Linked DNA regions of Caenorhabditis elegans. The protein of the gene in region 2 purifies or fractionates together with the protein of the main gene of each other region. This does not show direct contact. Each region holds a gene or a part of one and is shown on either strand. Other genes may lie near its edges. The genes, in order: sas-4 and sas-5.

What was found.
Region 1: the proteins of sas-5 (region 2) and sas-4 purify together in Caenorhabditis elegans (affinity purification with western blotting, with the first as the bait; one study listed by BioGRID). This does not show direct contact.

The regions. Positions count from the first base shown.
Region 1 is NC_003281.10:8,313,678-8,320,370, reverse strand, and holds sas-4 (Spindle assembly abnormal protein 4), read left to right. Parts: upstream 1-1,782; 5' UTR 1,783-1,789; coding exon 1,790-1,882; intron 1,883-1,930; coding exon 1,931-2,026; intron 2,027-2,106; coding exon 2,107-2,451; intron 2,452-2,567; coding exon 2,568-2,787; intron 2,788-2,829; coding exon 2,830-3,362; intron 3,363-3,538; coding exon 3,539-3,982; intron 3,983-4,252; coding exon 4,253-4,411; intron 4,412-4,457; coding exon 4,458-4,645; intron 4,646-4,693; coding exon 4,694-4,753; intron 4,754-5,506; coding exon 5,507-5,795; 3' UTR 5,796-6,022; downstream 6,023-6,693. Other genes in the region: F10E9.10 (uncharacterized protein), read left to right, coding at 91-171, 222-326, 371-478, 525-641, 686-742; F10E9.11 (rRNA-processing protein FYV7), read left to right, coding at 1,233-1,300, 1,358-1,625; F10E9.2 (uncharacterized protein), read right to left, coding at 6,085-6,300, 6,348-6,472, 6,517-6,693. UniProt on the Caenorhabditis elegans protein: Required for centrosome duplication. Plays a central role in determining centrosome size.
Region 2 is NC_003283.11:11,608,801-11,613,328, reverse strand, and holds sas-5 (Spindle assembly abnormal protein 5), read right to left. Parts: upstream 2,593-4,528; 5' UTR 2,551-2,592; coding exon 2,499-2,550; intron 2,456-2,498; coding exon 2,199-2,455; intron 2,147-2,198; coding exon 1,927-2,146; intron 1,875-1,926; coding exon 1,771-1,874; intron 1,725-1,770; coding exon 1,599-1,724; intron 1,556-1,598; coding exon 1,369-1,555; intron 1,123-1,368; coding exon 854-1,122; 3' UTR 733-853; downstream 1-732. Other genes in the region: tag-290 (BPTI/Kunitz inhibitor domain-containing protein), read right to left, coding at 1-20; piit-1 (BPTI/Kunitz inhibitor domain-containing protein), read left to right, coding at 3,261-3,281, 3,411-3,678, 3,728-3,844, 3,894-4,090.

The DNA.
Region 1 (6,693 bases), on a different chromosome or scaffold from region 2:
AAATAGTTATCTGCAAGTATCTACCCATTGACATCCTTATTTAACTCATTTCTTCTTTTTTCTTCTTACAATAATAATAATGTGTTCAGGATGGTCACAGTGATACCAAAAATAATAAGTTCTCCATATCCTCGGACACGCCTACCACTGTACCTCTACACTGTTTCCATCGTAAGAATTACCAATCAATAGAAAATTCAAGTTTACACCTATAATTCTAGATTATTTCCTGCTCTTTATTATACTGGAATCTTCTTTACTGCAAAAATTATGACTGTGTCGTTGAGAAGGAATTTCGATGGGGAAGTACTCGGCACTTACTACAGGTATCATACAATTTGGTACCATAAAGAAATGACATAACTTTCAGTACTTTCCGGTGATAGCAGCTCCGATTATAATGGTAATATCGTTTTCTTGGTTAATAATTGCAATATATTATTCAAGTAGTTCATGTGTTCTTACATTCAATTTTATGGTAAGTTTTATAGGAAGGAGGAATAAAATAAATATTGAAATTAAAGGAAATGCCATCTGCAGTACTTTGTTCTCTACTTGGTGGTATTAGTTCTGTAATAGAAATTCATTTTTCCATTGAAGTAAATCAAGTTCAATGGACTGATCAGTGGTTACTGTCATCTGTGGGTTTACCAATCAACGATTGTTTAAAAATCGATATTTTCAGGGATCTTCAATACTTTTATGCCTTTTACATGCTACAATTGCGTTCACACTTCAATAATCCTTCCAACATATTTGAATTTCCAATCTTCTTCAAATCGATGTGAAAAAACTTGTATCATTGTTTTTATCAAATATGAAACATTTTATAGGAATCAAAAATATTATGTGAACTGTGATATTTACTCTTGCTCAATTCATTTCATGTAAATATTATTTTGATACTCATTACTGGCATAAATTATATTTTCGAAATTCATGTCACGAGCGCGGATGATGAGGGACAATTCGAATTAATTCTCTTTTTCTCAACAAAAACAATTAAATTTTGAACCTCCCTCCGTTTTCTTTGAAAATGGCCTAGAATTGTGATGGCCGTGGACTAGCATTTTCCCTAGCACGACGGCGGGAATTGTCTGCGTCATCTTCGTCTTGCACGCTCTCTCGTTACCCCCCGCTGTGGTTATTATACCGTTTACCACCTTAATCCCTTCAAAACGCTTTTATAATTTCACATAATCTCTTCTTAGAAATCTCAATCGTTTATTCAGATGGGAAATCGATCAAAGACAGACAATGCAACTGCCGTGGCATCGCAACCACCCAAAAAAGTTAAATCGTAAGTTTTCTTTCCTATTTTCAAAACTAATATATCTGAAATCATCAACATTTTTAGGAAAAAGCAAAAGAAAATGAGCTTTTCACAAGCACAAGACGTATATCTTCGTCTGAAGCAAGAAAAAGAAGAGGAGAAACAACGAGAGCGAGCCGAACGAGAAAAGCGAAATGAGACGATTGCAGCGACAAATAAATCAAGAAAGAAGATGAATCAGGCATTGGCAAAAAGAAATAAAAAAGGACAACCAAATCTGAATGCTCAAATGGATGTACTTCTCGAGAGGATACAGAAAAGAGTGGATAAGGAGAAAAAGGAGAAGAAATGAACTAATTGTTTTGTCTTTTATATTTTCAGATTTTTTTTGTTGAAATGAAATTGTTGTGTTTTTAAAAATCGATAGTTTTATCGTTTCTTCGTTTCTTACCGATAGTATACTTTATTTTCTGAAATATAATTCAATTATTTATTAAAAACCTTTTCAGCCTTCAGATGGCTTCCGATGAAAATATCGGTGCCGACGGTGAACAGAAGCCTTCTCGGCCGTTTTTGAGAAAAGGACAAGGAACAGCAAGATTTAGAATGGTAGTTTGTGCAAATACAAGGCTTATCGAAATAATATATGAAGTTCAGCCTAGAAACAACAAAACATCTGCTGGTGCACCTCCAACGTCGGAACTTTCATCTGCTTCAAGTCCTTCTATTAATGTTCCTAGGTTTAGTCTGTCGGTAAGTAAAATATCTTAAATACAAACGTTATAAAACTGTGGTGACTAGTTAAATATAAATATTAAGTAGAATTATTCCAGAATGCTCTCCCGAACTCTGCCCGAACCGTGGACAGTGGAATATCAAATGAAGACGAGACCCGTCCACCAACCACCGCATCTCTTCCAATGGATCAACCATCATTGTCATCTTCGCCGGAAAATCGTCTAAATCCCGCACCTTCCGTTGCTGAAGAGCATGGCCACAGTGGACAGCACGCTGAAGAAGAAGAAGACAATGACACGGATGAAGTATCTGCAATGCCTTCTTTTGTGCCTGATGAACCTTCGACTCTTGTTAATTCAGATCATGAATTGTCTGATGATGCTTTAAAGTATAAAAATGCAGCTGCCGAATTCAAAGCTTTTGAGAGAAGAATGGATTCGGTAAGAACAGCCAAATCAGAATGATAATTGAAATTTTACATAGAATAGATTTACGTATCAAAAATCAAAACCTACGAATACTCTCTAATTCAAAATTTAATTAATTAAAATTAAAGATGAGATCAGCTTCAACAATCACAACATCACTGGCAACGCCATCATCTTGTGCACCATCAAACTCCTCTGAGCCTCCTACTCGGTCTACACCAATTATGAACGATTTAGGCGTTGGCCCAAATAATCACAATTGGCCGTCTTCAATGCAAGAATTATCAGGAATTTCTCTGGAAACACCACAGGCTCGACCGCTTGGCAGCAATAGAATTAATCAGCTTGGTAGGTTAATAACAAAAAAAACATGATTGATTAGATTTTTAGTTCGAAGTGAGGCTCAAACGGGAATAAGCCTTTTACAACACCATGAAAGACCTACTGTGACCGCCCCATTGAGACGAAATGATATGATGAACTCATCACGACAGAATCCACAGAATGGAAATGTTCAAGATGAAAATCGACCCGAGCACGTTTATGATCAACCAATACATGTTCCTGGATCATCACTGGACCGACAGAAACTTGAAATTGAAATTCGACGTCATCGTAACTTGAACATACAACTGAGAGACACTATTGCTCACTTGGATTATGCAGAAGAATCCGTGCACACCACAAAACGACAGCTCGAAGAAAAAATTTCCGAAGTCAATAATTTTAAGAAAGAACTGATAGAAGAATTTAAGAAATGCAAAAAAGGAGTTGAGGAAGAATTTGAGAAGAAGTTTGAGAAAATTAAGGAAGATTATGATGAACTTTACGAGAAATTGAAGAGGGATCAACGAGATCTTGAACGAGATCAGAAGATATTGAAGAAAGGAACGGGAGAAAGGAATAAAGAATTCACAGAAACGGTAATTAAGAATTTAAGCAAGAAATAGTTATTCGAGAAAAACCACGAAATTTCGATTGAAAATTTTTCTCAAAGCAAAATCTAAAATTTTCATTGAAATAAATTGAGAATTTAAAAAGTTGAAATTCTATTATAAAACCTTTAATTTAAAATCCAGCAAAACTTGTCAAATTTCAGATAGCCACTCTCCGCGACAAATTAAGAGCATCAGAAACCAAGAATGCACAATATCGACAGGATATACGTGTTCGAGACGAAAAGCTCAAGAAAAAAGACGAGGAAATCGAGAAGCTTCAGAAAGACGGAAACCGGCTAAAGAGCACTCTACAGACTTTAGAAAAGCGCGTAAAACAATTACGTACTGAAAAAGAACGCGACGATAAAGAAAAGGAGATGTTCGCGAAGGTTGCAATGAATCGAAAAACTTCGAATCCAGTGCCACCAGTTTTGAATCAAAGTGTTCCAATTTCGATAACATCAAATGGTCCATCTAGACATCCATCATCATCTTCGTTGACAACATTTAGAAAACCATCTACATCAAATCGAGAAAGAGGTGTTAGTTGGGCAGATGAACCAAATGAACAATCATTGGAAGCTGTACCACAGGAGTTTTTGATGGTAATATTTAGATCAAAGCAGGGTTTTTTTAAAATTGTTTTTAGAATATTGCTCTGAAAAAATCAATTCAAAAAAAATTTCAAATTATTTTTTCTTCCCGACTAAAAAATTAATATTTTTGAAAAATAGTTTTTTAAGTCTAAAAATTTACAGCTTACTATTAGCATTTGCCGAAAGTTCCGATTTTTCAAAATTCCCAGAATTAAAAATCAATAGTTTTCGAGTTACCGAAAATTGTCAAAAAAAAATTTTAAATCATGCTTTTTGAAGATGCCAGTCAAAGAAATGCCGGGAAAATTTGGAAAATGCACGATCTACAGAGATTCTCTTGGAGAAACATCTAAAGTGACGGATACAATAGCTAACGGTCTTCTTTTCGAATATTCCAATGGAGATCTTCGATGGGTTAATCGGCAGAACGCTGTTAATGTAAGTTTTAATTGGAATTTTGTCAATTAAAGTGACCAATTTACAGATCTACATATCCGCAGTTGATAAAACAGTCAGAATTGATCTCCCCACATACAATATTTCAATTATTCATACATTTCAAAGGCAAGTTGAAGTACTTCGTCCTGGAAATAACATAACATTGATAAGTATTAAACGACGAGAAGTTCGAACTGATTTGATTTATCAAAACGGAATGTATAAAACTGAAATGTAAGATTATTTTCTTTTTTAAAGTTCATCGGAAATTTCGTATTTCAGCTTCAATAGGGACGGAAGATATGTTACGAAGGATTTTAGCAATCAAGAAGTTTCGAGAAAGTGAGTCTCTATTCATTTTCCAATTAATTATTCAGAAAAACCATTAAAATCTCAAAACTATTACCCAGATGTTTAATTTAATTTAATTTAATTTATTACGATAGAAGATATCGTTAGGTAGAAAAAAAAACACACACACATTAATAGATACAAACCATCACAAGTGGTTACATAAATAAATTACATAAATAAAACGAAACAAAAATAAAAAAAGAGATGTGACATTTTGCGGCAAAAAATGTCTCGGCACGATAAAATTTAGTTAAATGGGAAAAGGCGTGCGCCTTTAAATATTACTGTAGTTTAAAAATCGCGTTACTGTCGAATTGTTGTTTGCCCCTTTTTTTTTTGATAAAAACATGTTTATTAGTTTAGAAAAAAGATAAATAAACCAAACTACAACAGTCTTTATAGGCGCACGTATTTTCACATTTAAAAATCTGTCCTTTAACGAAAAAATTGTAAAATTTGGCGCCTTCAAAGAGTACTGTAATTTCAAACTCAATTTGAAACAGAATTTTCATCGATTTTCCTTAGTTAGTTTTTCGATGAATTTTAATTTATTCATTAAAAAAACTCAAATAAGTATAACGATATTTTAGCAAATAATATATTTTCAAACAAAACATGTTTCTATAATTTTTGTCTAACCCAAAATTTAGGAATATGACCTCAATTCTTCAAAAAGTTAGTAAAACAGGTTTAAAACCCCGTTATAAATATTTTTGCCTCTGAAACCTATCAAATTTTCAGATACAATCCCGGTACACACACATATCGCGACAATCAATGTCGCTACGTTCTCGTCACTGATTACAACGATTTTGAGCTCGTTGAGCCAGAATTCCGTCTTCGTTGGTATCAGGGAGATCCGACTGGTCTCAACAATCAGTATATTCTCAAGATCATTGGACGACCTGAATGCAGCGAGAAAACATTGAGACTTGAAGTGAATCTTTCCACGTGTGAAGGTACATTGGAAACTGCAGAGATGATAGGCGATAAACGTCGGAAAACAACTTTGTTCCAGTGGAAAAAATGAGAAATTCCAACCCCTTTATTTTAACTTGTGGTTTGTATATCTATTCCATTGACATTATTTTTCACTCCTGAGTGCTCTAAAATTATAATTAATTCTACCTCCTGTAAAATCATATCAAATAATTCAATCATTTTTTACTATCTCAATTTTCACTTGCCCCCTCCCCCATTTCTTTCATATTGATCTTCATGGTTATTTTATTGACTGTTATAAACAATTTTAACTTTAAATGTTCTGCACAAAATTCGGGATTCAGATTGCAAAGATTTATTGGAACACTGGAGACATTTCAAGATGATCTCGGATCTTCTGCACGACTCGACGGACTCAAACTTTGAACATTTTCGTGTGAGATTTTCTTTTCTTTTTCCGCACTTTTCTTCTCTTTCTTCTCCTCACCACTTCCATCTTTCTTCTGATCATCTACATCCAGGAGCAGCATCTTGTGACGTGTAATCTTTAGATCACTGAGACGAGTTTTCGAATCGCCGACTTCAAGAGGAGCCTACAATCATCCTTATCTTTTTATATTCAGAATATCAAAAAACTAACCGGGTCACCTCGACCAGAAAACTCGCCTTCGCCTTCTTCACTCGATGATTTCTGAGTTCTCAGAGTAATCATATGGGTCTTACCGCTGACACCAAGAAGCGTGTAGAGTCGAGCCATCAGATCGTCTGAACGATATAATTGTTTAAAAATCTTAGATTCTTAAGCTTACGATAAGTGGCATCCGTTGGAAGGCTGACAACGACTGGCTTTGAAAGGTACAAAAAGTACCAAAGACGTTGATCCGGAACCTTCTTATGTCGACGAGTCCTTCCACTTTTTGATTTGTTCACAGATCCTTTCCGAGTAGCACGAGTACTTCCTCGAATCTTTCCACGTTCAGCTCCAT
Region 2 (4,528 bases):
ACTAACAGGTGGAATCGCATTTCTGTAGATAAATGGGTTAAATGTTTTTTTTTTTTTAAATTAAATTTTTAAAAGAAAATCCTGATAAAACTGTGGTATCAGTGTTTAGAGAGAAATGGGAAAAATCGCAGAGTTTATAAATGGGGAGAGTACAATGGAACAGTTGAAGTCCAAACATCTGGGTGCTCTCTCGAACTTTTTGAAAATGCCAAAAAACAAATTTGCAAAGATGAACAAGACACACCTAATCTTTTATATTTTCTAATTTTCCACCTACTCTCTATAAATAATCAATGTCAATATTTACTAGATTTTGACAAAAGAAATTCAAAAAATTCGGGTGCAAAAGTCAACAGGAAGAGAAATCAAAAATAGAGAAAGGTAGTGATAGTTCAAAACGCTTGCTTGCATATGGAAAATCAAGTGAAAGTGTATCTTTTCAATTGGAAAGTCTGAAGACAGCAAGTGTTTTAATACAGGAACACATGTGTACATGCCATAACAGTTTGTTTTAAAAGTTATGAACTTGTAGTTTAAAAATTCGTAGAACTTCTCCAATTAACACGTACACTACTAGAATTTTCATTTTTATTTCGTACACAAATGAAACTCTTGAAGGAGACCGATGGAAAGGTCAAGTTGGTACTTGTCAAACAATGACAGAAGTGTGAAGTGCTGAAAATCGAATTAAGTTCGAGACTATCTCGATCATATGATCAAATGAGAAAGAATCGATGAAATTCAAAATTTATTCAGGTCACAGCTGGAAGTAATGGTTTTAGTACAATTCACAGACATTACACGTAGTGATTAATGATAATTTTAAAACGTCAAGAGTTAAACACATTTGATATCATTTCCTGCGAGCGTATTTTTCACGAATACGGCGTTCTCGTTCAGCTGGAGTCTCAGGTACCGCTTGCTCGTGATAGTTCTGTCCCCGTTTATTGACTACAACATCCTCTTCATGATCTGATGAATCTTCCACGTAGTATCCAGTTCGATTGTTTCTAGCTGTCGTTTTTCCAGCTGCTTCTGACGGATAATAGCTAATACTTTGACCCTTTTGATAGAGTGAGTGACATGGTTGATCCGGTTCGTAGGTACGGTATGAGTCAGGAGCTAGAAAAGGTTTTTTTGAATAGTGAAGAGACTTCTCATTTTTGACTTTTAATTCAAATTTTTCAACTGATTTGAGGATTTCATCTTAAAATCATTTCGTAGTATAAAGTGTTTTCACTACGAATGGTTATCAACTTTCAAACATTTTTAATGAATTATTTGATACATTTTGGAATGCGTGAATTATTATATTTATACAATTCTAGCGGACGAATTCTGTGTTTGAATATTGAAAAATTAAATTACCACGATTATCACGTCTCTCATTTGTCCACTGTCTAGAATCAATAGAAGCGAGTCCGTTGTCATATCGAATACTTCGTTCTACCGTAAGTGTTTCTCTCATCAAAGCAGGATTCACACCAGATCCGTATCTAACTTCAGACATTGGTGGTGGTGGAGAATATGCAGCTCTGTTAGCATCACATTCAGCCTGAAAACAAACTATTTCTATCGGATTTAAATACACTACTCACGTCTGCTAGAACATTATCAATTTGTTGGCGAAACATTGGGTCCGAGCGAAGGCGTTGCTCAATAATTGTTAATGCTTCTGGAGGTATAACACCGTCTCTTTTGATAACTTCTCGTGCCGAAGCGATCTTAAAACGGAGTACTTTTTGATTTATTTTTTATCTGAATTCTCACTTTACTAGCTGGCTTCTGCTGTCTTGATTGACGAGGACTCTCATGAAAATTTTCTTTGTCTTTTTCAACTGGTTCGATCGCTTGCTGTTTAGGAATCGTTATCTCTGAAAAATTATTATTTATTGAATTTATGGGATAATATATATTCAAACATACTCTGAAAGAAGTTTGACATCAATTCTTGCATTTTAACAAGATTTTGAGCATTGAGCTCTTCTTGTCGCCGGGCCGTTTCTTCTTGAATCTCTGTTCGTATCGTTTGCAGTTCTGTTTTCATAGCGTCCCGCCAGTTTTCAGCTGCCTGTTCTTCAGTCGTTGTCGTATTTTGGGCAGACATTGTTGAAGCAAGCACTTTTTTTGAATTCCGAGATGTTCCCTGAAAGATAATTTAGTGGAATTATGCCATGGAACAATTTTAATTTAATTACCTCGACAGTTTGGGAAACGTTAACTGTTTTTCCAAACGCAACTGTTTTTTGGCGAAGCGCTGGATGCGAAGGTGGCTCTTTTCTTGGTTTCGGAGCCGAAAGACACGATTTTTTCTTGGCTACTTCTACAGCGGCGACAATTGGCTGCGTAGATGGTACTGGGGGTTTTGTCCTTTCTTGTGGAAGCTGAAGAACTTCTTGAAAGGCAGGGACTTCAGAATCTTCGAAGACTCTCGGTTGATCCACAAACTCCTGGACTAAATTGGCAATTTTAACACTTTTATATCGAAAACAACTCACCAGTTGGTTTTTTGAAGTAAATAGAGCAGGGTAAGTCGTCGTAATTATTCATTCCCGCTTAATGCGAGGTCATTTCTGTTAAAACTATGAAATTGGAAAATAAAACGTTTTTTCTTTAAAATTGGCGCGTTGGTGTCGCGGGGGCGTGGCCTCTGCTGCAACCCCCGCGCACATTTTTTGCAAGATGAGCGCGCACATTGTATATTTTCTCACATTTCTTTTCGCATGACCATTCGGGGACGAAAGAAGATTGTAATTAAATTAAATGATATTATTATAAAACAACAGAATTTTCTACTTTCTCATATTATCTGCAATTTAGAAGAATGTTCCTGATCAGTTGAACAAATTTAGATTGACAGATTTTCAAACAAAAAATCTTCTCAACCTACACAATTTTCCAATGTATTAAAAGTATTAAAAAACAAGTAAACACTCCCGACTGGTTTTCTAAAAATTCCGAGAAAATTTTTCCTCTGTACACAGATAGACAGCGAGACACAGAAAAAGTGTCTCAAAATAAATCAGCGTGGTAAAAAAGTCAGTGCGAAGGAGCCAACAGTATATGTACATTATACACACAATGTTTGCTCCGTGGGGTCAGATCAAAACTGGAATTTGGATTTGACTGTTGGTGGTGTTGCACGGTAGCAAGAGCTTACACGATTGCCAGTACAATAGTTTAAAGGGGCGGGAATCTCGATGGCCTATTTAAAAGAAATCCAGAACTCGAGTACAACATTTTCACGTGGCAAAACTAAAATGGCACTTAGATTGGCTGTGGTGAGTTTTAAAATCCTTTTAATTATGAGGTTTGAAACTTAGTTAAATTAAAAACTACTAAATCCAGAAATAGATCTACTTTAGATCTACATACGACTTTCAGTTAATTTAAATGTAATTATTATTTAGATTCTCTCCCTATTGTCTTTCACTGCGGCTCAATCGACTTCTGTTGACTGTTTTGCTGCACGGGACTCTGGAAATACTTGCGCTGAGAACAGTTCTTCTAGAATGTTCTATTATCTTCCAAGACTTGGAACGTGTCAACCATTCATGTATCAGGGATGTGGTGGTAATAGTAACCGGTTCAGTAGTGCACAAGAGTGTAGATCAGCTTGTACCAATGCTCAAGCTCAAAGAGACTCGGAGTCAAGTGATGAAACCGTTCAAATGAAGTGTAAGTGAGGTTAGCTAGTAACTATGGCAATTATTCTAAAAATTTTAAGCTGCTTGCTCTGCTACCTATGACACTGACCACTTGACACCAGTGAGATGCTCAGCAGGAGCTAATACTTGCCCACAGGGTCATAACTGTATTCAATCATTCTGTTGTCCAACATCCAGTAAGCATCAAATGTTTAAATGTTTTATTCTTAAATTTCAAATTCACAGACTATCTTTGCAACTTGACATATGACTCTGGAAAGTTTGCTGTCGGAGGAGAGAAAAGTGACAAATACTTCTGGGTTCCAAAATACACAACTTGCATGCGTTTCTCATTCTATGGAACTCTCGGAAATGCCAACAACTTCCCCAACTACAACTCATGTATGGCAACCTGTGGAAATCAAACAAGAACTTCCCAATAAGACGATATTTGAATTCCTGGAATTATCTGTATTATGAAAAACAAGTTATTTTTAAGAGTTGGCATTTTTGTAGTTTTTTTTCGGGTAATTTTCAAAGTATGATTTAACTGTATTATCATCCACTCATAAACAATTTTTATCTCATTTCTTTTAAATATTTTTTATATAATCTAAAAAATAATTTTGAATGTGATGCAAAAATAATAATTTATATACATTAAGGCAACGTTTTTCCTTTTGGGAACTACAAAACTTCAGTTATATTTATCCTGTAATTTGTCTCCATGTCAAGAGTATGGTTTTCAATCAAAGTACAACCAGGTTCGTTTATTATTCAGCCCTAGTTTAAAGTAAAATCTATCACTAAAAATAATACCCCATTTTCTCTAATAGTATTGCGACCCACACCTATAATATCAAACTCACATCTATAACCAG